Linked DNA regions of Sus scrofa. The protein of the gene in region 7 binds, or shares a complex with, the protein of the main gene of each other region. Links are inferred from orthologs where the notes say so. Each region holds a gene or a part of one and is shown on either strand. Other genes may lie near its edges. The genes, in order: SF3B5, USP39, PPIL2, GPKOW, TXNL4A, CWC27 and SNRPF.

The links.
Region 1: SNRPF (region 7) and SF3B5 share a complex: the UniProt entries of both Homo sapiens proteins name them as parts of the minor spliceosome. The link is inferred for Sus scrofa from reciprocal best matches to the Homo sapiens genes SNRPF and SF3B5.
Region 2: SNRPF (region 7) and USP39 share a complex: the UniProt entries of both Homo sapiens proteins name them as parts of the U4/U6-U5 tri-snRNP complex. The link is inferred for Sus scrofa from reciprocal best matches to the Homo sapiens genes SNRPF and USP39.
Region 3: SNRPF (region 7) and PPIL2 share a complex: the UniProt entries of both Homo sapiens proteins name them as parts of the minor spliceosome. The link is inferred for Sus scrofa from reciprocal best matches to the Homo sapiens genes SNRPF and PPIL2.
Region 4: SNRPF (region 7) and GPKOW share a complex: the UniProt entries of both Homo sapiens proteins name them as parts of the minor spliceosome. The link is inferred for Sus scrofa from reciprocal best matches to the Homo sapiens genes SNRPF and GPKOW.
Region 5: SNRPF (region 7) and TXNL4A share a complex: the UniProt entries of both Homo sapiens proteins name them as parts of the U4/U6-U5 tri-snRNP complex. The link is inferred for Sus scrofa from reciprocal best matches to the Homo sapiens genes SNRPF and TXNL4A.
Region 6: SNRPF (region 7) and CWC27 share a complex: the UniProt entries of both Homo sapiens proteins name them as parts of the minor spliceosome. The link is inferred for Sus scrofa from reciprocal best matches to the Homo sapiens genes SNRPF and CWC27.

Annotation. Positions count from the first base shown.
Region 1 is NC_010443.5:21,229,800-21,232,514, reverse strand, and holds SF3B5 (splicing factor 3B subunit 5), read right to left. Parts: upstream 1,252-2,715; 5' UTR 1,108-1,251; coding exon 847-1,107; 3' UTR 827-846; intron 718-826; 3' UTR 501-717; downstream 1-500. UniProt on the Homo sapiens protein: Component of the 17S U2 SnRNP complex of the spliceosome, a large ribonucleoprotein complex that removes introns from transcribed pre-mRNAs.
Region 2 is NC_010445.4:59,136,098-59,139,597, forward strand, and holds part of USP39 (U4/U6.U5 tri-snRNP-associated protein 2), read right to left. Parts: intron 2,846-3,500; coding exon 2,620-2,845; intron 1,211-2,619; coding exon 1,133-1,210; intron 1-1,132.
Region 3 is NC_010456.5:50,230,043-50,234,288, forward strand, and holds the start of PPIL2 (peptidyl-prolyl cis-trans isomerase-like 2), read right to left. Parts: upstream 2,801-4,246; 5' UTR 2,641-2,800; coding exon 2,609-2,640; intron 143-2,608; coding exon 93-142; intron 1-92. Other genes in the region: verprolin, read right to left, coding at 4,165-4,246. UniProt on the Homo sapiens protein: Has a ubiquitin-protein ligase activity acting as an E3 ubiquitin protein ligase or as an ubiquitin-ubiquitin ligase promoting elongation of ubiquitin chains on substrates.
Region 4 is NC_010461.5:43,179,302-43,181,838, forward strand, and holds part of GPKOW (G patch domain and KOW motifs-containing protein), read right to left. Parts: intron 2,214-2,537; coding exon 2,000-2,213; intron 1,105-1,999; coding exon 972-1,104; intron 235-971; coding exon 108-234; intron 1-107. UniProt on the Homo sapiens protein: RNA-binding protein involved in pre-mRNA splicing. As a component of the minor spliceosome, involved in the splicing of U12-type introns in pre-mRNAs.
Region 5 is NC_010448.4:127,977,889-127,981,112, forward strand, and holds part of TXNL4A (thioredoxin-like protein 4A), read right to left. Parts: intron 2,885-3,224; coding exon 2,781-2,884; intron 1-2,780. UniProt on the Homo sapiens protein: Plays a role in pre-mRNA splicing as component of the U5 snRNP and U4/U6-U5 tri-snRNP complexes that are involved in spliceosome assembly, and as component of the precatalytic spliceosome (spliceosome B complex).
Region 6 is NC_010458.4:43,384,464-43,387,963, reverse strand, and holds part of CWC27 (peptidyl-prolyl cis-trans isomerase CWC27 homolog), read right to left. Parts: intron 1,477-3,500; coding exon 1,319-1,476; intron 1-1,318. UniProt on the Homo sapiens protein: As part of the spliceosome, plays a role in pre-mRNA splicing. Probable inactive PPIase with no peptidyl-prolyl cis-trans isomerase activity. As a component of the minor spliceosome, involved in the splicing of U12-type introns in pre-mRNAs.
Region 7 is NC_010447.5:87,620,064-87,624,156, forward strand, and holds the start of SNRPF (small nuclear ribonucleoprotein F), read right to left. Parts: upstream 2,801-4,093; 5' UTR 2,677-2,800; coding exon 2,674-2,676; intron 824-2,673; coding exon 698-823; intron 1-697. UniProt on the Homo sapiens protein: Plays a role in pre-mRNA splicing as a core component of the spliceosomal U1, U2, U4 and U5 small nuclear ribonucleoproteins (snRNPs), the building blocks of the spliceosome.

The DNA.
Region 1 (2,715 bases), on a different chromosome or scaffold from region 7:
TCCACAGCACCCTCCAACATGTGCTTGCTTATGTCTGCAAATTTTGTGGTCTTCTGCTCCCCCAACCAGTGTAATATAGGTCCTTAAAGCCTGCCACATAAAATTCAACACGTATTTGCTGAATGAATTTAAGAACTAATTTGACAGTTTGTCAATACTCAAGATATGTCCACGTATTTCCAAAAGAAAGAGGTGTAATCTACAGAGAGAAGGCAAAGCGAGTCAAGATTTTTTTTTTTTGTATGAAAGAAAAAGGACACAGTGATCACAAACCTCAATAGTGAATGTGTTAAGGGCCTGAGAAAAGTTCCTGGGAGAAGTCAGGGTTGGAGAATATTATAAAGAGCGTATTTAAGTGTCTGGCAACGAACTTTGGCCCTGTGCTACTGTTGAACCCCTCCCCAACCCTTCCCTTCTTTATACCCCCCGCCACCCGGCAAACCACAGTCCCAGAGCCCTCCTTGGCCCCTCCACCAGAACACAAGTAGTCCACACCAAGAGACCGAAACATTTCTAAACTTTATAGAAAAAGCAACGAAGACAGTCAACTAGCCAAAAACGAGCCTCTTAATCCCATCTCACTCCAGCCATATCTCCTCTAACGTCTGCAGACTTTAGGATCTCTCCACTGTTCAGTTTCTCAGGGGTTATGACGGGTCTCCCAACACTTTGTTCCACAGGAAGGCAGGTCGGACGGAACGCCCCGGGTAAGGACCTCTGTACAAAGAAAGCACGAAAAGCAGAGCTATGAAGAATCCGTCCACTTGGGAGAGGAACCCGCGGGAATGACGACAAACCGGAGGAACGCAGAGAGGTGCTCACGTACAGCGGTGAGACGGTGAGGTCTCAGTTCTCCTCCGGTTTGTCGGCGGGCGGGCCGCAAGGCTGCAGCATCTTCTCCATCAAGTTGAAGCGGACTCGCGCTTTGCTCTCATTCTCGGCAATGGCGAAGTAGTTGAGAAGGTCGAAGTGGCCCATGTAGGAGCAATAGGAGTCGCGGTGCTGGTTCACCAGCCACTCCCATTTGGTGGTGTCGGCGTGGCCGGTGCCGATGTATTTGGACTGCAGATGCTCTAACTGGCTGTGGATGGTGTAGCGGTCTGTCATCTCGTTGCTTTTTCCTTTGCTCGCAGGTCAGAAGCCGCAGACGAGAAGAAGCCGCTCTAAGGTTTCAAGCCGGAGAGGAGCCACCCGCCGGAACCTCTGTACACGCGCGGCCGCAGGTGGATGGCGTCACAGCGACAAAGCAGCGCGACTCGCGGTCCCCGGCCTCCCAGGCGGAAGTGTATTCTGTCACGGAATTGGAGTTGCCTCGGCAACGCTACCAGTGGGCCTTCCCTATAGAGAGCCCCGCCTCCTTCGCAGAGCGTTGCATGCTGGTCCATCTAGCGGCCCTTTTCTAACAGGAGCTTTGCATGCTGGGACTTGTGGTTTCCGAGGGTTGGTTCGCAGAGACTTCTTGGGACCTCTGTGTGTGGGTTTGAGAGACTGAATGGACTGCGGTGTTTGGGAGGCAGGAAGCATCCTCGGGCGGATGGGGGGCCGAGAGGAAGTGGGAAACAAGTAGTACAAGGCTGTAAGCAACTGGGGAAAGGAGCTCTTTGTGCAATTCCGCTTTCGGAGCTACAGAGGGTACAGTAGCCGTTTCACAACCAGGGGTGGATCACCCTGAAGTCAGGAAACTCAAGGTCTGACCCCAGCCATGTCTCTTACAAGTTGTGTGGAAACTTCTTTCATCGCTTGCGGGGCCGCCGTTTCCCGCCTAGTGACCTAAGTACAGCACCAGTTCCGACACATTCAGGCCCCCACAACAGGCTCCTCCTTTTGAGCTTCTAATTTTGACATCCTCCCAACAAGTTTCACCCCACCTACAGGCCCTCAGCCTCTACTTCTCAAACGTTCCCGTGCTGCTCTCTCCAGTTCTCTGTACGAGCTGTTCCATCTGCGTGGAATGCTTTTGTTCCCCTGGCAAACACTTCTCCCTTTTAAGTCAGCTCGAAAGTATCTCCCTGAAATTGACTTTGGCTACTCCAGACAGATGTAAATTCTTTTCATCCTGTACATCTCTTTGTTATTATCACTTTATATCCAGTTTTTGGTTTAAGAACTTCCCCACACGAATACAAACTACTTGAGAAAAACTACTTTTTTGATGATGTCTTTTTTTTTTTTTGAGGGTGAGACATCTATCTACTTGATCTATTTGTAGCATGAAATCCACAAAGAAAACCCCAAAATGCGAAGTTCAATAAATTCAAATAGTAATATTTTTAAAAATATTAATGAAAAAGAGATGATGTCTTGTATCATATGCTTCTGTTATGCTAGCCACAGAGCCTCGCAGAGATTGTTTCTCAAAAAACATCTGATGAATGGATTAAAAAAACCTGTATGACGGCCAAATAAATTCTTTACTGGGAGAAAGATAACTTTAAAGTATCTTTATTCTGGTATAAAGTTACGGTTAGATAGGACTAGTAAGTTTAGAGCTCTATAGTTAACTATAGTTAATACTGTATCAATACTAAAAATTGTGAGGAGGTGAATATGTTAATTAGTTTGTGGTACCATTTTATTGTGTATATGTATATCAAATCATGTTGCACCTCTTAAATATATATAATTTTTATTAAAAAATTTTAGTGGTAAAACAGTTCCCTCTGGGATCAAATGCCTGTACCAAAAATTGGAAAAAAAAAAAAAAACTTCCCCCTT
Region 2 (3,500 bases), on a different chromosome or scaffold from region 7:
GCTCTGGTGTGCATGGGCTGAAGATACCTGTAGAGGTGGCAGGACCATTTGGCAGAAAGGGAGCCAGGCCATAATCCCACATCCAGAAACCAACACCCCCGGAACAAAGGAAGAGGAAAACTGCAATCGGGCTCCAAAATTATCCACAGTCTCTAAGCAAGAGTTATTTTCAGCACCCCTGAGAAATGGCTAACTACTGCTAAGCCAGCATGGATGCTAAGAGACCTGGGACTCGAGGTTTGAGAGTCTACAGAGACGCCAGCCTCACCTCTCCAAGCACAGGCTCAGGGCGAAGACCTAGCTTTTAGTATGCTTTACCAAATCACGAGCCAGGCAAACCACCCTCCAAGTCTTCACTGTGGCACCACATGTCTACCACATGCTGCTGAGTTCTCAGTTTGAAACCAGGTCAGGATTTCAACGGCACAATTATATCCATTTCCACTTGTTAAAAATGCCATTGGGGGAGTTCCCATCATGGCGCAGTGGTTAACAAATCCAATTAGGGACCATAAGGTTGCAGGTTCGATCCCTGGCCTTGCTCAGTGGGTTAAGGATCCAGCGTTGCAATGAGCTGTGGTTGGTGTAGGTTGCAGACACAGCTCGGGTAGGCCGGCGGCTACAGCTCCAATTGGACCCCTAGCCTGGGAACCTCCATATGCCACAGAATCAGCCCTAGAAAAGGCAAAAAGACAAACAAACAAACAAACAAAAATGCCATTGGGGTAGTTTCCGCTGTGGTGCAGCAGGTTAAGAATCCGGCATTGTCTCTGAGGTCAAGAGGGTTTGATCCCCAGTCCTGCACAGTGGTTTAAGGATCCTGCATTGCCACAACTATGGCATAGGTTGTGGCTACAGCTCAGATTCGATCTCAATCCCTGGCCTGGAAACTTCCATATGCTGTGGATGAGGCCAAAAAAGAAAAAAGGAAAAAAATTGCCACTGGCTATACACATCTCCTAATAAAGAAAAACAGAAAAGAACCCATTCAGGAACAAGGTCTGGCCCACATGTGCAGAGACACCCCCCAACCCAAAAAGATAAACAGGTAAGAAAAGGCTGGGAAGCTGCAAAATGTTTTTGAAAGGAAGCAGGCAAAATAGAGCTCCTTTTACAAAATAACATGACTTACTCTTCTTCTTCTTCTTTGTGCCCCCCAGCGCTGAGTGTAAAGCATTCAAAAACCAGGACAGAAAGTCAACTCCATCCCCTGGAAAAGAAGGAAGGTAGGATGTTGTAGCTGGGAGACAGTGTAATCCAAACCACGTGCTGGCTGGCGGGACTTCACATTCCTGCTCTTCCTCCTTCCTCTCTCGCCACCCTATCCCATCCCCTGGCATCCTCCTCTATCTGGCCACCCACTACATGCTGGCACTCCTGACGGACAAGCTCTTAGTCTTCTTTTTTTTTTTTTATGGCCTCACAGTGGCATATGGAAGTTCTGGGAGCTAGGGCTCAAATCAGAGCTGCAGCTGCCGGCCGACACCATAGCTCACAGCAGCACCTGATTCTAAACCCACTGAGCTAGACCAAGGATTGAACCTGAATCCTCATGGATACTAATCCGGTTCATAACCCACTGGGCCACAACAGTAACTCCCTTAAGTCTTCTTATCTTAACTCACCCCCAGGCTCTTTGATCTAAAGAGTACCTTTGATCACTATCTCTCTTCCAAACGTGAGTCTCATCACCCATCAAAAGCCATTACTAAACTTCCCCTCTAAGTCACTCCTCAGCCGGAATGTTTTTAAAACAAAAATGTGACGGCACCTCTCTGCTTAAAAGCCTTCACTGATTCCCCAAACTCCTTATACCGGCACATAAACCCGACAATGTGGTCCTTCTCTTCCAACCTCCACCTCGGCACTCGGTGCTGGTCCAAGGTCCAGCCACGTGCAGTCCTCTCTTTGTGCCAGGCACCTCCACGCTCCTGTCCAGTGTCCTCTCTACCTGGAATGCCCACCCCCAACCAACTCCCCTCTACCTAAAACTCAGGTGTCTCTTCCTTCATGCTGACCCCCAGCCCAGCTCCCTCCCAGAGCATAGTGTACTTCCTCCATCACAGCACTTAACACCCTGTAATCATCTTTCTACATAAGCAAGTTCCCCACTAGTTTGGGAGCTCCTGGAAGAGAAAAGCTGTGTTTCTGATCCCTGCAGCTCTAAAACCTAGCACCACAAGTGATTGGTGAATCAACCGATCTAGAGAATACTACAGTAGATTCAGGTGCTAAGTGCTATTCATGTAGCAGTAACTTGGTTTGGAAGGATGAAAACTACCCAAATAATTCATTAGAATATCCTGCTCTGCAACATGACAAAATGAGAAGCAAAAGTGGCAGCTGCCTGGTAAGGGTTGGTGCCTTCCCCAGCTTTCTGATTCTCCCCTGAGCTGTAAAACTTAGTTCACCAAATCAGACAGACTTTCTATCCTGCTGAAATCTCTTGGGTCTCTGAGCAGGGCTGGCTGATGAAGGAAGAGTGAGGAACCTAACCACGCCACCCACTGGACACTCACTCCAGCTACTGTAAGGTTTGCTGCAAAGTGGAAGTCAATGTGCTCATGAGACTAGCTCTGTGGCCCTAAAGTCAGAAAACATGAATTACTCCTTCCTTACCCTGCTTGGTGATCTGAAAAGTCTTCTTGCTGCAAAGGACAACAGCCTGAAGCATCTCATGGGGAGAGACATGTGCCTTGAAATTTCGAGGGTTCCAGAGTTTTCTCATCAGCTCTCCAAAACGCTGGACCAACAAGAACATGATATCCCCAGGAGGACGCTTGATGTTCTTATAATTGTCTTCTTCCAGGAAGTAGTTCCGGAGAGGAGGAACATTAGACAGAGCCTAGGAGTCAAACACTCGGATTAAACCATAGCCCTTCTGCAGAAGTAAATGGACTCCTGGAGAATCCCCCAGAGTTCACATTAGAGAAATTATCAGCTTACATTGATTTTCATGGCAAGTCCAGCTCTGCAGACATTTTGCTGATGTGGATATGATGAAGGGGTTTTAAAATACAGGCATTCAAAAGTTCCCATTGTGGTTGATTGGTTAAGAACACAACTAGTATCCAGGAGGATGTGGGTTCAATCCCTGGCCTTGCTCAGTGGGTTAAGGATCTGGGGTTGCCACAAGCTGTGATGCAGTTCGCAGATGCAGCTCAGATCCAGTGTTGCTATGGCATAGGCTGGTGGCTGCGGCTCCAACTCAACCCCTAGCCTGGGAACTTTCATATGCCAGCCCTAAAAAGATGGAACAAAAAGAAAAGAAAAGGTATTCAAATCCCTATCAACTGGCCAACTTATTTAATAGTTTCCTGTGTTTATCAGGCCTGTGACTATGTTTGGATTCACAAGGAACTGAAGGCTAGAAACACAAATACTATTTCTTCATCACGTACTTGGCTGGGGCAGAGATAACCATCTGGAGACCATAGTTCCCCCCTCTCTCAACTGCACATTAAAACAATATGGGAGAAGCTCCCTTGTAGCACAGCAGA
Region 3 (4,246 bases), on a different chromosome or scaffold from region 7:
TAATTGTTAAGGCTCACTGTACCGTGAAGGCATCATTCCTTAATTACACTCACACATACACCAAAGGGGCACAGAAGGATTTCAAACCTTACCTGGTTTCTTGCCACCATAGAAGTGAGTATATTCTGCGCAGGTGATGTACCTGAAAAGAGAGAATCTTACTACCATCCCCTTAATAAGGAAAACAAAGTCTCTGGAAGTAAGGAACTGACAATTGAACCATTTCACTAATTCTTCAAATGCTTATTAAGCACCTACATGCATTAGGCACATGGTGATATACACACAAAAGAACACAGGGACACACAAACCAGCAAGCAAACACAAACCATCCTGCTCTGAAGGAAATGAACTGAATTTAATAGAAGGCTTAATGATGAGAAGCAGCCGGCCAGGTGACAATCTAGGAGAAGACCTTTCCAGGCAGACGGACTAAACAGGCTAATCAAGTACAAAAACGCTGAGAAAGGAAAAGCTGGAGTGTTCCCCAAAATGGGTAAGGTGAAGATGGGTAAAGTGAAGATGAAGTGCACACACAGGGGCTCATGGCCACTGGTGATAGGGCCGAGGGTAATGGTTGCATCACAAGAGGCCCCAAAGGCCACGTGAGGATTCGAGATTTGCTTCAAGTAAGGTGGAGAGCTACTGGAGGATTTTTTTTTTTATTTTTGCTTTTTAGGGACCCATCCACAGCATATGGAAGCTCCCAGGCTAGGAGGTGAATCAGAGCTGTAGCTGCTGGCCTATGCCACAGCAATGTAGAATCTGAGCAGTGTCTGCAACCTATACCACAGCTCACACCAATGCCAGATTCAAGCCGAATCTGCAACATACACCACAGCTCAAGGCAATGCCCGATTCCCCAACCCACTGAGCAAGGCCAGGGATCAAACTCACATCCTCATGGATACTAGTCAGATTCGTTTCCATTGTGCCATAACGGGAGCTCCTGCTGGAGGGTTTTGAACAGTCATTCCCTGACTAGATCGAGAATGTCCTCCAAGATTCACTCTGGTTGCTGGGTGCAGAGGGACAAGCAAGAGGCAGCAGAAAACCAATGAGAGGAGAACTACAAAGGTCTAAGAAGGACATGGCATAAACTCCACCTGTGGGAGGAGTGGTGGATGAGGGGGAACTGATCAGTTCCTGGAAAAGCCAGCAGGACTTACTGGCCAACAGGAGGCAGGGGGAGCTAAGAGAAACTTCTAGCCTTCTGACCCCAGCAAACTGAGCAGTGGTATGACCACTGAGATGGAAAAATTGGGGCAGAGTTCCCTTTGTGGCACAGTGAAAAGGAATCTGACTAGTGTCCATGAGGATTTGGGTTCGATCCCTGGTCTCTCAGTGGGTTAAAGATCCAGCATTGCCATGAGCTGTGGTGTAGGTAGCAGGCGGGGCTCAGATCCCTCATTGCTATGGTTGTGGTGTAGGCCTGTAGTTGTAGCTCTGAGTCAACCCTTAGCCTGGGAACTTCTATATGCTACGAGTGCAGCCCTAAAAAGAAAAAAAAAGAAGAAAGAAAAATTTTAGCAACATGGATGGACCTAGAAATCATCATGTTAAGTGAAGTCAGTCAGACAATGAGACACCAACATCAAATGCTATCAGATATGTGGAATCTGAAAAAAGGACACAATGAACTTCTTTGCAGAACAGATATTGACTCACAAACTTTGAAAAACTTATGGTTTCCAAAGGAGACAGTTTGGGGGGTGGGGGGATGCGCTGGGGGTGTTGGATGGAAATCCTATAAAATCGGATTGTCATGATCATTGTACAACTATAAATGTAATAAATTCATTGAGTAATTTAAAAAAAGAAAAGAAAAAAGAAAGAAAGATGGGGGCAGAGCAGGCTCAGGTGCAACAATCCAGAGCTCCACGTGGGGCATAGTGAATTGGAGATGTCCCTCAGATCTCCAAAAGGAGGTGTCTGGCAAGCAGCTGATCACTGCAAGACTGGTGTGACCACCGCGGAGAAGAGTAAACTGGGAGGGGGGGGGGGGCGGTACAGAACTATGAGGTCCGAGAGAGGGGAGGAGGATCCAACAAAGGAGACGGAGAAAGAGAAGCCCCTGAGGAGTGTATGGTGTCCCAGACACCAGAGAAGGGCTATTCGGCCGTGTCACACGCTGCTGAGAAGCCCAACAAAACGAGGTCTGAAAACTGACTCCCAGATGTAGCCACGCAAAAGTTACTGGATCCCAACAAGAGCAGCGCGGGGGGGTCGAGTGCCTGGCTGTTGTGGTTTCAAAAGGACAGCAAGAAACAGCAGGTAGACACAGGCCTTTCCCATCCTGCCATGAAGAAAATCAAAGAAACTCGATGGCAGCTGGTGGGGCAAGGCTGGTCTGTTTCTAATAGGAGATGCTGGAACTCTCGGGTAGGCTGGGGGGCGTGAACCGCGCGCGGGGTAAGACAGCAGTGGCGGAGCTGAAGGAACGGGGACCCTGGGAAACCCTGAGCCTTACGGGGCCGCCCCGCCGGCGTAGGCCGAAGGCTTCTGGGGAAGCGAAGCTGAGAGGGGTTCGGGGAAAAGGCGCAACGCAGGAACGGCCACAGGCGGGACTGAGGCCAACGGGGCCCGCTCCCGGAGGGGGGCTACTTACATCTTGTCTTTCTGGTGCTGTCGCTTCCCCATGGCGTCGGTGGCAGCGGCGGCGCCGGCAGGACGAGCGAACGTGGCAAAACAACCCCAGACAACTCAGACAGCCGCGTCTCCGAAGAAAAACAATCGCAGACAACTCAGACTCCAGCGTCTCCGTCGACCTCGTAACAACTTCCGGGTCCCTTGGCCCCCCCCCGCCCCGCCCCGCCCCGCCCCGCCCCGGAAGCTGGCGCTGGGTATGCCGGGAACCGTGGTGCCCAGCGCGCGTGCCCGAGGTGGGGGGCGGGGGGCGCTTGGGTGCTGGGGCTTCTGGGCCAGCCCTAGGCAGAGCCACCTTACCCCGAAGGCCCATCTTCCCGGGTGCCTTTCTCTGGACCGTTGCCTATCTGCCCCACAGGGCTTAGACCCACCCTAGTTTGACCTGATTTCTCAGGTCTTTAAAAAGCCCGCCTGGGAGTTCCTGTCGTGGCTCAGCTGAAACGAATTTGACTAGAGGACTCAGGTTCGATCCCCGGCCTCGCTCAGTGGCTTAATGATCCGCTTAACCACCTTGTTGTGAGCTGTGGTGTAGGTCTCAGACGCGGCTCGGATCCTGCGTTGCGGTGGCTATGGCATAGGCCAGCGGCTACAGCTTCAATTCCACCCTTAGCCTGGGAAACTCCATGTGCCACGGGTGCGGCCTTAGGAAAAAAAAAAAGCCCACCTAGCTCAGCGGGTTAGGGATCCCACGTTGCCACAGCTGTGGTGCAGTTTGCACCTAGGGCAGGATTTGATCCCTGGCTTGAGAACTTTACACATTCTGCGATTGTAACAAAAAAGTAAATATAAAGGAAAACTCCCACTAGGCCCCATATCCACTCCTCAACTACCCCCCCCCCGCCCCCCCAAGGCAGACAGCTCAAAAGGGACATCCACACTTTCTGTCCACCCGCTCACTGCCCATACAGTTCCCACTGCCTCCAGGCCCTTCTCCTGGGAGGCCCAGGGGCAGGAGCCATCAAGCCTGAAAGTCCAAAGCCCTGATGATACCTTCTGTCTCTTCAGCCAGACCACCATGTTTGTGTGCCCCAGCCAAGCCCTGGACCTCCCTCTACAGTCAAGCACTGGGTGATCTTGCCCAGATTGATGGCTTTAAACACTGTATCCCTTGATTCCCAAACACTAAATTGCCAGCACTCTTGGGAGTGCCTGTTGTGGCTTAGAGGTAACCCGACTAGTATCCATGAGGACACAGGTTCAATTCCTGTCCTTGCTTGGTGGGTTAAAGGATCTGGTGTTGCTGCTGTATAGGTCACAGACTTGGCTCGGATCCTGAGTTGCTGTGGTTGTGGTGTAGGCTGAGTTCCCATGTTGGATCCCAGCCTCCCTGACTTGACCACCTGACCACCTACTGTGTGCAGGCTCAGACCCATGAGCCTCTGGCTTGCAGTACCCTGACCACTACTTGGGACAGGAGAAAGCCCAAGGGACAGCATGGTCCCTGGGGAGCGAGGCACAAGGAAGGCACCTCCGGGGGGAATTTATTCATTTCTCTGGCCGTGCTTTGCACAAGAGAGGTTACGGGTCCCTCTGGTAGGGCACAGGCTCCACGCTGCCAGGGTCATTCTCTGAGTCATCTTGGGGATGGGGCACAGGCTGG
Region 4 (2,537 bases), on a different chromosome or scaffold from region 7:
GTTCCTTCCAGACATCTGCCTTGCCTTGCCCTGGAAGCCTTCTCTGACTGCTGGAGCCTCCCCATAGCCCTGCCCCCGGCTCCCACCCGAGATACGCAGGGTCCCACCGGTCTGGAAGGTGTTTCCGCTTCCTCTCTGAGTCCTCCCGCCGGACGTGGAGGTCCTGATCCCGCAGGGCCTTCCAGGAGGAAGCTGTTCCGTTCTGCCGCTCCGGGGAAGTTTGGCTCACCTGGCCTGTTCAAAGGGGTGTGGGAGGAGAACCAGGAAAGAGCCTCGTGTGTCTCCCTCGCTGTCCTTCTAGGCCACGCCTCAGCTTCCAGCCAAAGTGCCCTCTCTCACCCCAAAGCCTTCGCCTGGGTTATCACAATGCTCTCCCCTTCCTCTGAACAGTCCCCGCGTCTTTCGGGAAGCTTTCCTCAACCACCCCAGCTAAGCCTGAAAGCGCGTCTCTGAGCCACCTGCTGGGAGTGGAAGAGGGAGTCCTGGAGAGCTGTTCGGCACCCCTCTCCCAATGTGCCCAGCTGACCCACCCTGCCGCCAGGCCTGGAATGCCTTCCTGCCCGCTGGGCCCTAGTCCTAGATGCTCTCAATCTCCAGCAAAAGAGAGGTTCACCACCCCAAAGAGACAAAGACCTCCCAAGGGTAGGAATTGGTTTCCACACCTGTTCCTTCCTCCTCAGAAAGAAGCTAAGGGGAAAAAAAAAAAAGAAAGAAAGAAAGAGGCTAAAGACCCAGGGTTACTAGATCAACCTCTCTCTTCAATCACATTGAATAAGCCACTGTGTTCAGTCTCACCTCGGATCTCTGGGCTGATGATCTCTGACCTCGGATCTCTCACCCTTGCTCAGGAGACCACTGTCCCTGGGCCCTCTGCAGATATCATCTCCACCCCCAAGACAGGCCTTACCACTCCCCCACTGCCGGAAGGCTTCTCCAGCTCCCCCGCCCCACTGAGTAAGAGGCTCACTCACCAAGATCCAAGGAGTTCTTGTCAAACTCCTGCTGGGAGACAGGCCGCAGGCAGTACTCACTAACAGTCACCATGCGGCTCCCCACAGCCAGGCGGACCATGGCCCGAACATTGTCAGGATCAAGGCCTTCTATCTAAAGTGTTGCGGGAGAGAAGCGAGGCAGGGGTTGAGTGGTCTTGGCCCACGTTCCTAGGACCAAGCTGTCTACCCTTAACCTCCAAGAGGCCTGACCCCTGTGTCTCCCCCAGCAGACCGTGAAGCGTGGATATATTTTAAGTAGCTAATCCTCAGGGACTTGTGATGGATGGCATTCTCTCCGTTTTAGTTAGCAATTGACTGTTTTTCTTTGTTTGTTTGTTTTGTCTTTTTTGTCTTTTTAGGGCCACACCCGTGGCATATGGAGGTTCCTAGCCTAGGGGTCTAACGGGAGCTGTAGCTGCCGGCCTACACCACAGCCACAGCAATGCCGGATCCTGACCCCACTGAGCAAGGCCAGGGATTGAACCCGCAACCTCATGGTTCCTCATGGTTCCCAGTTGGATTCGTTTCCACTGCGCCACGATGGAAACTCCCTCTCCGTTTTAGCTAGAAACTGAGGCTCAGAATGGCCCAGCGAGCAGTCCTGAGTAACTGAGTGAGGAGGAGGATCAGGCAGGCCTGAAAGACAAGGACTTCCGGCCTTTCTACCCTAAACCCAATTCTTCCTCCCGCTGATGGTCACAAAAGTCTTTCCTCTGCCTGTCTTGGGCTCCACGCACATCTTGGTTCCTTACCTTTTTTCTTTTTAATGCCCCACCCGCGGCATATGGAAGTTCCCAGGCTAGGGGTCCAATTGGAGCTGTAGCTGCCGGCCTTTGCCACAGCCACAGCCACGCCAGATCCGAGCCACGTCTGTGACCTACACTGCAGCGTGGGGCAATGCTGGATCTTTGACCCACTGAGTGAGGCTGCGATTGCACCCCCATCGTCACGGACACTATGTCCGGTTCTTAACCTGCTGAGCCACAGTGGGAACGCAGGTTCTTTACCTTTCCATAAAGGCCTCGATGAGGGCCAGAAAGAACCACCACAGCTCCTCCAGGCACCAGTCCTCGAGGCTGGTCTTCCTTATCTTTCTCTCGTTCCTCATCTGGCCTTGGCAGGCGGTGGGGGCTGGAGGGGGCCAGGGCCTGGACCTCAGTCAGGTTGGCACCCAGCCCTAACCCCTTGGGCCTCAGTGAGTTGACACGGGGCTTCACCACTCTGCAGGGAGCACAGAATATGGGCTTGTTGGAGGGGGAGATGCATCAGTCTTCAATGCCCTGTTTCCCACCCCTACCCTCGACCACTGCCCAAGTCCCACCCTATCAGCATGTTCAAGAACATCCTTCCTGGAGTTCCTGTCTTGGCTCAGCAGAAACGAAATCCGACGAGCATCCATGAGGACACAGGTTCGATCCCTGGCCTCGCTCAGTTGGGTTAAGGATCCCGCATTTCTGTGAGCTGTGGTGTAGGTCGCAGATGTGGTTCGGATCCTAGCTGGCCAGCAGCTATAACTCCGATTCGACCCCAAGACTGGGAACCTCC
Region 5 (3,224 bases), on a different chromosome or scaffold from region 7:
CACATGCAGTGAGAAGCAGGATCTAAGGCGGCACCCATATTCCCACCTGGAGGACTTTTGGAGAACTTTGAGAAGCATAACAGAAAAGGCCTGGATTGCCTTAAATAGCCTGTTAGTAGAAATATGGACTTGCAAGGAGTTAGGGACATGTTCCAGGGAGTGGAGGAAAGGGATCTTTGCTACACAGTGGCAGAATGTCTGTGACACTTGTAAGCGATGCATGTGGATAAGAGCTGAGAACACAGAAGTAAAGTCTTGAAGGCACTGCCTGGTTTCCTAGGCCTTATAGTAAAAGAAGAGAGAAACTGGTTGTAAAAACTGTCAACAACAACAACAACAAATTCTCAGCCTCTCCAAATAGCAAAAGATGCTGAAATCCAGAAATGGGTGCTGAACTCTTGACACAGAAGCCACATAACCTACTGAAACCTGGAAAAGACCTAAAGGTCAGAATGTTCAAAGGACAGGATCTTCTCCCAGGAAGCAACCAGCAAGCTCTGGCACCCAGGACAGACTCTACCTGCTCAGGCCGAGGGGAAGCACTACAACTTCATGCTGCTGGCAGGAAGCAGGCTGAAAAATAAGCCAGCTGAAATGCCATTCATGAAAAAGGCAGAAAAGGCTGGGGAGAACCCTCCCGAGGGCAGGCATTGGACCAAGAGGATGATCCTAGCCCTGCATCAAAGCCCTGCTCCTGGTGAACCCAGACTGTTCCCTATGCCTGTCCCACACTGTATCCTGGGGAGGGGCCACAGAGAAAGAGTGTCCAGGAGCTGGGCTTAATGGGTCACCCAGAGAAGCCTCATCCACACTCAGTTTTGCATACGAGAGGGATCTGAATCTTTGTGAGCCAAAGGGCAGACTGCAGTAGGCAGAATCCTAAAATAACCTCTGCTATTTCCTGCTCTAATCCTCAGGACTATGAGATGACATCATGCCTCCGATCAGTTACACTGCACTTCAAAGGGAATTCTGCAGGTATCCCTACAAGTACCCACCAGTTGACTTTAAAATAAGGAGATGCCCCAGAATTATACAGTCTAATCCATCAAGTGTGCCCTCTGAAAGCAGAACAGGAAGTTAGAGCAACTGTGTAAAAATGACTCAACTCTTGGTTGAGGGCTTCAAAGCTGGAGGGGCCTCTAGGAGCACAGAGGGGCCCAGGTGGAAAGACACCTCATTCCCATGTCCACCCAGAACTGGAAACTGGATTCAGCCAATAGTCCCCAAGAGCCAAGTAGATTCCCCCCTGACTGACTGCCTGGCTAAAAGCCCAGCCTGTGACTATGGCCTTGAGACCCCAAGACAGAACCCAGTGAGCCTGCCTGGACTGTGACCTACAGACCTTGGGCTCATAAATGGTGTTGTTTTCAGCCACCAAGTTTGGGCACACTGTCAAACAGAACAGAAAGCTAATCTACACCCTATATACTCTACCCAGAACTTCTCTAATTGTGAAGCTCTACCTCTGGAGTATGGCCTAATGTTTATGTTGCTATTTACTAACTTTTGTAGTAACAATAAACTAAGAATTTTTTTTCTTTTTAGGGCCACCCCCTAGACATATGGAAGTTCCCAGGCTAGGGATCGAATTGGAGCTACAGTTGCTGGCGTACACCACCATAGCCATAGCAACGCAGGATTCCAGCTGCATCTGTGACCTACACTACAGCTCACGGCAATGCCAGATCCCTGACCCACTGAGTGAGGCCAGGGATTGAACCCGCATCCTCATGTAAACTAGTCAGATTCATTTCTGCTAAGCCACAATGGGTACTCCAACAGTAAGAAATTTTGACAAGTAAAAACTGTGAAATGGTGATTCTTTCCAAATTAAATGTCCACAAGAGAATTTTTTTTCACTTGTGATGCTACTTAACTTTATAAACCCCAATCAAACGTATTTGCATCTGCATTGGACACCCATGTACCTAACCAGTAGCCACTCTATGTTCTCCTTTCATGCAAAGTTTGTAAATCATGGATACAAATTAATTTAAGGCGATTAGGGAAATTCTATTCCTTGAGTCAGTAACTGACTGATTAAAGTCCACAAAAGAGTTTTTGTCTTGTTTTGTTTTTAGGGCTGCACCCACAGCACATGGAAGTTCCCAGGCCAGGGACAGAACTGGAGCTACAGTGAGGTCAGGGATAGAACTGGAGCTACAGCTACTGGCCTATGCCGCAGCCACAAGCAGTGCCAGATCCAAGTCACGTCCGTGACCTATACCACAGCTCATGGCAACGCCAGATGTTTACCCCAATGAGTTGGGCCACGGACTGAACTTGCAGTTGGGTTCATTACTACTGGGCCACAAAAGGAACTCCAGCAACAGAATTTTTCAGCTGATAAAATAATCTTGTATTTCTAAGCAAAGTAATTAAGTAAAGGTTTTCCTTCTGGCTATCACAAAAGGACACTAAATAAAGTCATTGATATCATATTTAAAAAGTCAGTTATTTTAAACATTTTTTCATCAACATATTATACTTAAAGGTATCTGAAATGTCAATAAGAACATCTTCCACTTAATTACACTTCATTTAGTTTTCTGGGCAGTTATTTCAAAAGGGTAATGTGTTACTGTAAATGCTAAATCTGTAATTGCTACTTTGAAAATTATTTAAAAGATCACACTGATTGCCTGGTGACACAAACCATATTATGATATGAGTGCATAACTGACCTCCTCCTAAAGAAAAGAATCTAAAGATATCTTGATTACATTAAACTTCCAGACCATCTATTCAATTTAAATAACAACTTTAAGAGAACATACCTGAAGAAAAACATGACAGTACACGGATCATATAATTCATACATTTTGTTGAAGTCAGGTACTTCTGTGATATCCACAAGATAAATAACTGCAAAATTTTTAACCTAAAAGGAAAAGAGGTTGGGGAGAAAAAAAAACAAAATGTAAAATGACAAATCATTTTTTATTCCATAAAAGCACATTTAAAAACAAAAACAAAAAGAATTTGTGTATAGGGAGTTCCCGTCGTGGCGCAGTGGTTAACGAATCCGACTAGGAACCATGAGGATGCGGGTTCGGTCCCTGCCCTTGCTCAGTGGGTTAACGATCCGGCGTTGCCGTGAGCTGTGGTGTAGGTTGCAGACGTGGCTCAGATCCCGCGTTGCTGTGGCTCTGGCGTAGGCCGGTGGCTACAGCTCCGATTCAACCCCTAGCCTGGGAACCTCCATATGCCGCGGGAGCGGC
Region 6 (3,500 bases), on a different chromosome or scaffold from region 7:
ATTTAGCTTTACTAAATTTTAGTTATATTAATCATAGGCTACATAAGTATTTGGAATCATACTAAGGCCAACAAAACAGAGTGGGGTATGGGACTCAAAAAGCACTTAAACATGACAAATATTTGATTCATCTACGGAAAATTCAAAATGTATTTTTTGTCCCATTAAAAATCTAATATTTTAAAAATTGCTTTTAAAAATCAGAAAATACATGTCTTGAATGAGAGAGAGAAAAAAGTATCCTTGATTATGTTCATGATTTGATTAAAAGAGCTAATGAGAAGCCCGTCAACTCCATGTATGTACAAGCATATACATGAGCACTAAAATCTTCAAGCAATAATGGTGCAAAGTTAATCTACTATGTTCAATTACTCAACAGTGATTAACTGAGCATCAGGTGAATGTTGCCAGAAAAAAGATATTTAAGGTAACTTCTAAGTGTCATTTCTGAATGTAAAAGGTTATACTAGGAGTGGAAATTTCTAGGAATTACTCTTATGGTTATATAAAGAAAAAAATTGAGGAAGCTAAGCAATGACAACATGGAAATAAATGATTTTTAAGTTTTTCTGTATGAGGATGAGCAACATAACAGAAAAAAAGAAAGTCGTTTATATGTGGTTATATCTATCTTATCCCCAAATGTAGGCCATTCAAAAGAAAGCAAATACCACTATTGTTTAAAGCAATATTATTTAAAATGTATACCCTAAAGTTCTAATAATAGAATGACAAAGGAGAGTTTTTCAATTAAGCTGAATTTCAGGAGAGTAAAATGTTGAGTAATAAACTTCAACAGCTCTTTATGATCAGACATTTGCTGCAATTTCTTTTATGACACCACTGAGATTAGCAGGTGTAGACAGTATAAATCAGACTTCAACAGATATATAAGAGCATTTTCAGGCCCACACATTTCTTAACTAGTTCTGACAAATTTTACTCACCTAAATCTGATGTCTCTTTTTTCTTCTATACGATTACTTTACAATTCTTGTTGGTTTTAAACAAATAAAACCTTCCACATCTAGCTAATATATTGCTTACCCAAAATATAAAAAAATTTAGAGGCTTTTAAAGAAGACATCAGAGAGAAATAAAGTAAAATTTGACTCATACAGCCTTGGCTGCAAATAAAACTGGTTTATTTTCTTTTAGGCCTCTGAGTGGGTTAATGTAGCACAACTGGTATATATAGCAAACACTATGAAAATAGTATGTTAGAAAGTAAGTTGAACAGAGGACTCAATCGTGATTTAAAATGAAACATAAAAAGACATAAGTTTTGAAACTGAGTACACAACACTTCACTCACCTGCGGCTAACTGATTTCTTTTCCACTTCACCCTCTTCGGAGGTCTTAACATTTGCACTTGTGTCCTTCTTTAACTTTTTTGCAATTCTTTCTCTCATCAGGCTCTTCTCATCACCATCAACGTGTCCATCATACTCTGCACTTTCATATTCTCCATCCTATAAAAATCGAAATGGAGTATTTGCCAGGCATTCCACTTTCTCCTTTCACTTCCAGAGATCCATCTCAGACTCTCCTCATGGCATTCTAGGCAGGTTTTTTGGTTTGGTCTGTTCTGACCTAATAAGGGTTTGAAGAATCTGCTACAGGTGGGACTACCAGTTGAGGTTTGCTCTAGGCCAGCTACGTTAAGTACACCATAGCCCATACGGGTTGTTGCTCAATCCACACCCAGCCCCAGTGCACAGCAGATTGTGCCCCCTCTGGATCACCCAGGATATTGTGTCCATCTACAACCCTATTCCTTCCCAGTGGGAAACATGGTTTCTAGAAGCTGATGGCCAGCCTACTGACCTCACACAAGGATTAATGCAAGTAAAAGAAGTGGAGGTAAAGAAGCTCATATTTCTTCCTATAATCTAAGCCATAGCAATCACTCCTCTTCTCAAAACCCTCCAATGGGTCTCCAACTCACTTAAGACCCTACACAACCTGTACCTCCCTGACATAATCTCCCACAACTCCAGGCCAGCAACACTAGCCAACTTTGTAGGTGCTGATCTCTCTAACCTGAAATGCTCTTATTTGAAGTATCTGCATTGCTAGCTTTCATCTCCTTCAGGCCTCTCCTCAAATGTTAGCCTCTCAGTGATTACTTCTCTTGACCAACGTAATACAATGGCAGAACCATCCACCCACCTCCAGTACTCTCTATTCCCCTTCTCTGTCCCCCCACTGAAACATTCATCACTCATCTGACGCAATACATATTTCAATTATTTATTTGATTACTGTCTCTCTCCCATAATTAAAGGAAGCACTCCATGTGAGCTAGAATTTTGGACTATTTTGCTTACTGCTGTATCTTCAAATTTCCAGAATAGCACCCAGCATTAACAGGGAGAGGAGTAGAGGCAGAAATGAAGAAAGAGGGAGGGAAAAGAATAGAGAAGAAGGAAGAAACCACCTGAGAATCTTTGTCTTGTGATTCGCCAACTAAGTGAGTCTTGATGAGGCAGGATTCTTAACTCGAGGTTTGTGGCCCCTAGTGCAGTGGTCCTTGAAGTCTAGTCCTCAGGCTATAAGGCAGGGATTGTTAAAAAATGTAAAATCCTAGCCCTTATATCAGTCTTATTGAACCAATTCTCTAGGGATAGAAATTTTGAGTGTTTTCAGTGAGACATGTAAGAAATTCTTTAGCCTTGAAACTTTATAACCACTGACTAGGTCTTCCATTCTTGGTCCTCAGGAGATCTAAAAAAAAATAAATTCCCTACAAATTCATAAAATTTTGTTTGCAAATGTAGTATATTTCCTGAGAAGAAGGTCCACAGTATTAGACATTGCAAAGGGTCCTGGGAGACAAAAGAGATTAAAGAGCATACACTATCCTTAGATGACCTCATCCCTGCCAAGACCATAAGAACATAATGATAATTTTACATTAGGCCTTGATCCTATCTACCAGACCCATGATGTTACACAGATGTCTCCAAGTTTTCTGAATCTTAAGATGCACAAAATCAAGCACACTACTTTTCTTTTTTCTCCCCACCTTTCTCTTGTACCCATCTAACAAACTGCCCAAATCAGAAATCTTGTCATTGTCCTAGACCCCTCTTTCCCCTTTGCCTCACAGTATGGAATCAGTCACCTCTTAGATTTCTTTCAAGTCTCTCTCTCTCCCATCTCACAGCTGTGGTCTTCTATCAAGCTCTCCTCCTGCTATAGCTTCCTGATAGGTCTCCTTGACTCTAGCTTATCTCTTCTAATTCATCCTCTGATATTGCCAACAATGATCTTCCTCAAATGCAAAGTTGATGACAGCACTTTTTTTTTTTTTTTTAAACTAATACTCTTCAACTGTTCTTCATTCCTTTTAGGATGAAATTCAAACTGCTCACCTTAGCCTATGAAGCTCTGTAAAATGTGGCTTCTCCTTACCTTTGCAACCTTGCTCAGCTCTCCCTCCTGTCACTACACTCCTCAGACTGGTCTGCGTTCAGCTTCTGGAACATAACAA
Region 7 (4,093 bases):
CTTCTCTCTTAAGAACTGCTTCTATCAAATTACTTAGATTTGTACATTTAGCATTTATCAAAAGACACGAATTTCACTGGAAAAGGTTCTCTCGGACCAAGTGCTGGGATGTTTTGCTTTCCCCACAAATCAGTATATTTTTCTTATGACATTGTGAATCAAACGCCTGAGCTCTTCTTACTTTTAACCACCTGGGAATCAAATCTGTGGCTGAATTTTTTTTTTTTTTTTGTCTTTTGTCTTTTTGTTGTTGTTGTTGTTGTTGCTATTTCTTGGGCCGCTCCCGCGGCATATGGAGGTTCCCAGGCTAGGGGTTGAATCGGAGCCACAGCCACCGGCCTACGCCAGAGCCACAGCAACGCGGGATCTGAGCCGCGTCTGCAACCTACACCACAGCTCACGGCAACGCCCGATCCTTAACCCACTGAGCAAGGGCAGGGACCGAACCCGCAACCTCATGGTTTCTAGTCGGGCCCGTTAACCACTGCGCCACGACGGGGAACTCCTGTGGCTGAATTTTTAATATGTCTCATACAAAGTTCATCAAATTATAACATCCTCCTTAGCCTTGATTTGACCCCTTAATTTTGCTTTGTTTGTCAATTAATTATATCCCTGTAAGTCACACCAAACCTTTGAGAAGTCACATGAAGAAAAATAAATACAATCTAATGATCTTCATAACTCTTCCACTTACCTGCATATTCATATAGCCATCTACAGACACCAGGTAGCCTTTGTACTCCATTCCCCACTTAAGTTTCACCATCACTGGCTTCCCTGTTAACCCATTGAGGAAAGGTTTGGGATTGAGAGGCAAACTCTGCAAAACAAAAACAAAAAAAGAACCCAACTGAATAAGTTTCTTTAGCTTGGTTTCTATTACCTACTCTTTTCTGCCAAATTACCAATATGCTGTGGTATCCAAATGAAGCAAACTCTTGACTCCATCTCACGTTATTACATAATTTTCACTTTTATTTGTGGAAGAACTTCAAAGAAATATCCAGCCAGTCAATTTCATCAACCCCATCAAGACTTATTCAATGTTCACTTAAGAAACATTCACTCACTGTTCCAAAAATATAATGAAACCAAGGAAAAGGCAATAGAAAAAAAAGAAAAAAAAAAAAAAAGGCAGATGACAGTCCCTGTCCTTAAGAGACCTACAGTGGGAGGGAAGGGTCAAAACATACACGAGTGGGCAATTACTTTGTAATGTAGTAAGAGGAGAATGCTATTACATGATACCAAACAATCCAGTGTTAAGAGAAATGGAAGAGTTGCCTGAAGTAAGTAAATGCCTGTTTTAAAGGATGACAGATATTTCCAGAGGGAAAGAGGCTATTCTAGGCAGAGGAGGCTACCTATGCAAAAGGAGGGAAGAATGACTCGGCAAGGTGATCTCAGGGACATAAAAGTTAGTTTTGTATGAAGTTACTGAAGAGGCAGGGGCAGATCATAATTGAGTCTCTCACTATGAAAAGGTAGGCCTGGATCTTATTTGACTTAGCAGTGACTCCTACATATAGGCAATCAATCACTTAATGTTTGTTTATTCAGCAAATGCAACAGTATCTCCAACGAATTCAGACTTTTCCCCCTTCCTTCATCTGTTGGCCCATCCACCCAAAGAGAGAAAAGAACCAAGAAACTTGGCTACTAAACCCCTCTAGGATAAGCATACTCAGAGTGATCTCAAATAGTTCTATGGTCTTCACTCTTTTCTTTCTCCAATTTATTAGCCACACGGCAAGTATTTTTTATCACATCATATCTCTACCTAAAATGTTTTGATGGCTTTCCAAAGTAGACCCGGGAGTAGAACTCAGACCTCCTAAAACTGCCTAATACTTGCCCAACACTCCATCCTAGCAAGCAGCTGTGGCTTTCTCTCAATTCCTCCAACTGGTCAGGCTTTCTTTCGAGGCTCAGAGTCTATGCTCATGTTTCCTGAGCTTGGTGTATACACTCTTCCGCCTCTTTAAGGGTGTGTATTTCATATCGTTTAAGTTTCAGGTTAAATCCCTTCTCCCAAAGATGCCATCCTTAAACACTTCTAACGTAGCATGGTACCCCCTCATAGCATCCTGTGTGCTTCCTCCTTAGCACTAACTTTATTTGAAATTATGTATTTGTCGTTATTTGATCAATGTCTCTCTCTCTCTCACACCGACTTAAACTGGAGCAGGGGCCACACCAGTACTTCTCGCCCTATAGTCCTAGTTCCTAGAACACACCTGACAGGTAGCAGGAGCTCAGTAAAAATTTGCTAAGAGAACAAATGAATGCTCAAAGCTCGGGCTCAGTATTCCAAAGGGCTGCAGGGCTTCCCAGCATCACCAGACAAAAGCGGATTTTGGAGTGCTGTAAGCTGTACGTGAAAAACCGCTTCATCTTTACTCCAACTCTGTGGTCCCAGGCAGCAAGAGCAGCTCAGGCTCAGATTCAAACGAAGAAGAGGGGGAAGGGGACATTCCTAGGGAGGGGAAGGAGGGCGTGCGTCAGACACCCAGAACTGGCAGAAAGGGGCTGGCCACAGGCTGCGCGGGGCCTCACGCGGATGAATGGGAAACGCGCGAAGGCCCGGCGAAGCTGGTCACCCGCCCTCCCGCCCTCTCTCTCTCTCTCTCTCCCCCACACGGGCGACTCTGACCTTCTCTTTCTCCTTACCATCGCGACTACTGCTGCTGTAGTGGGCAGATGCTGCAGACTACCCGCCGCCGACTCAGCGCCGTCCGGCCCTCGTGGACTGGAGTTGGCTACAGCAACTTCCCAGCCACCAAGCTTCCAGAGAAATGGCCGCCAAATAGCAGCGTGACCTTTCCCCTCCGACTACGGCTCTTCCGGCTTCTGTGATTGGATGCAAAAAGATGCGTGCTGATTGGCGGAAGTGACTGGGGCCTGTCTCCTGGCAACCAGCAGGCTCGAGTTTCCGAGCGCCTTCCCGGCGGGGGCAGGAAATAGGAAACCTTCAGCAGCATGGGTCTGATACCTGCGGCACTGCAAAGGCAGAGAGGTGGCTCGAGTTGCCTGTTTGCTCGCCTGCCTCGAGGGTTTGCTGTCTGTCCTGCAGAATGGACGTGATTTCTCGCCAACTTGGCTGGTGGAGTTTCCTTTGGCTTTGCACACCTGGGAAAACGAGCTCGGGGCTCTCAAGTTTCTTCTTCATTTTCCCACAGATCCTGAGCCATGGGGACTCCTCTGCCACAGTCCCGTTCTACCTGATGGCTCTCTATTCTGTAGTGCTCATTTCACCCCATCTCAGAGGAAGTGGAAGAAGCAAGACTAGATAGACTTAAGGAGGTGAAACGCACCGGAAGAAAGTCAACTGCAGAATATTTTTCAGATGAGGTCAGACAGAGACTAAAATACGGTGTGGTGGCCTCCCGGTCCACCTGTTTCTTGTGCTTTGCGAGCAGAGGCCCACTACAGTCCTCATACTGGATTTATTTTTTTCAAATATATATATATCTAAAACATTTTGGATATAAATTTATATACATGTAATATATATTATAAATAAATTGCATATAAATTCAGTATAGCTGAATTACAACATTGTGCCAGTTTCTGTTGTACAGCAAAATGACACAATCATACACATATATACATTCTTTTAAAAAAATTTTTTTTTCTTTTTTGTTTTTTGTTTTTGCAGCCCTAAGGAGTTGAATTTGAAATTGAAATTTATGGAGTTCCCGTCGTGGCTCAGTGGTTAACAAATCCGACTAGGAACCATGAGGTTGCGGGTTCTATCCCTGGCCTTGCTCAGCGGGTTAAGGAGGTTAAGGGTCCGGCGTTGCCGTGAGCTGTGGTGTAGGTCACAATCCGGCTGCGATCCTACATTGCTGTGGCTGTGGTGTAGGCCGGTAGCAATAGCTCGGATTAGACCCCTAGCCTGGGAACCTCCATATGCTACGGCAGCGGCCCTTGAAAAGACAAAAAGACAAATAAGAAGAAAGAAGAAAAAATTGAGATTTAAATGTTGCGGTATTGTGGAGTAGTGGCTAAGACTTTAGAGGCAGTCTGAGTTTAGAACGTCTATCACGTGGGAATGGTATTGGGCAGTTTCTTAACTCCCGAAGGCGTT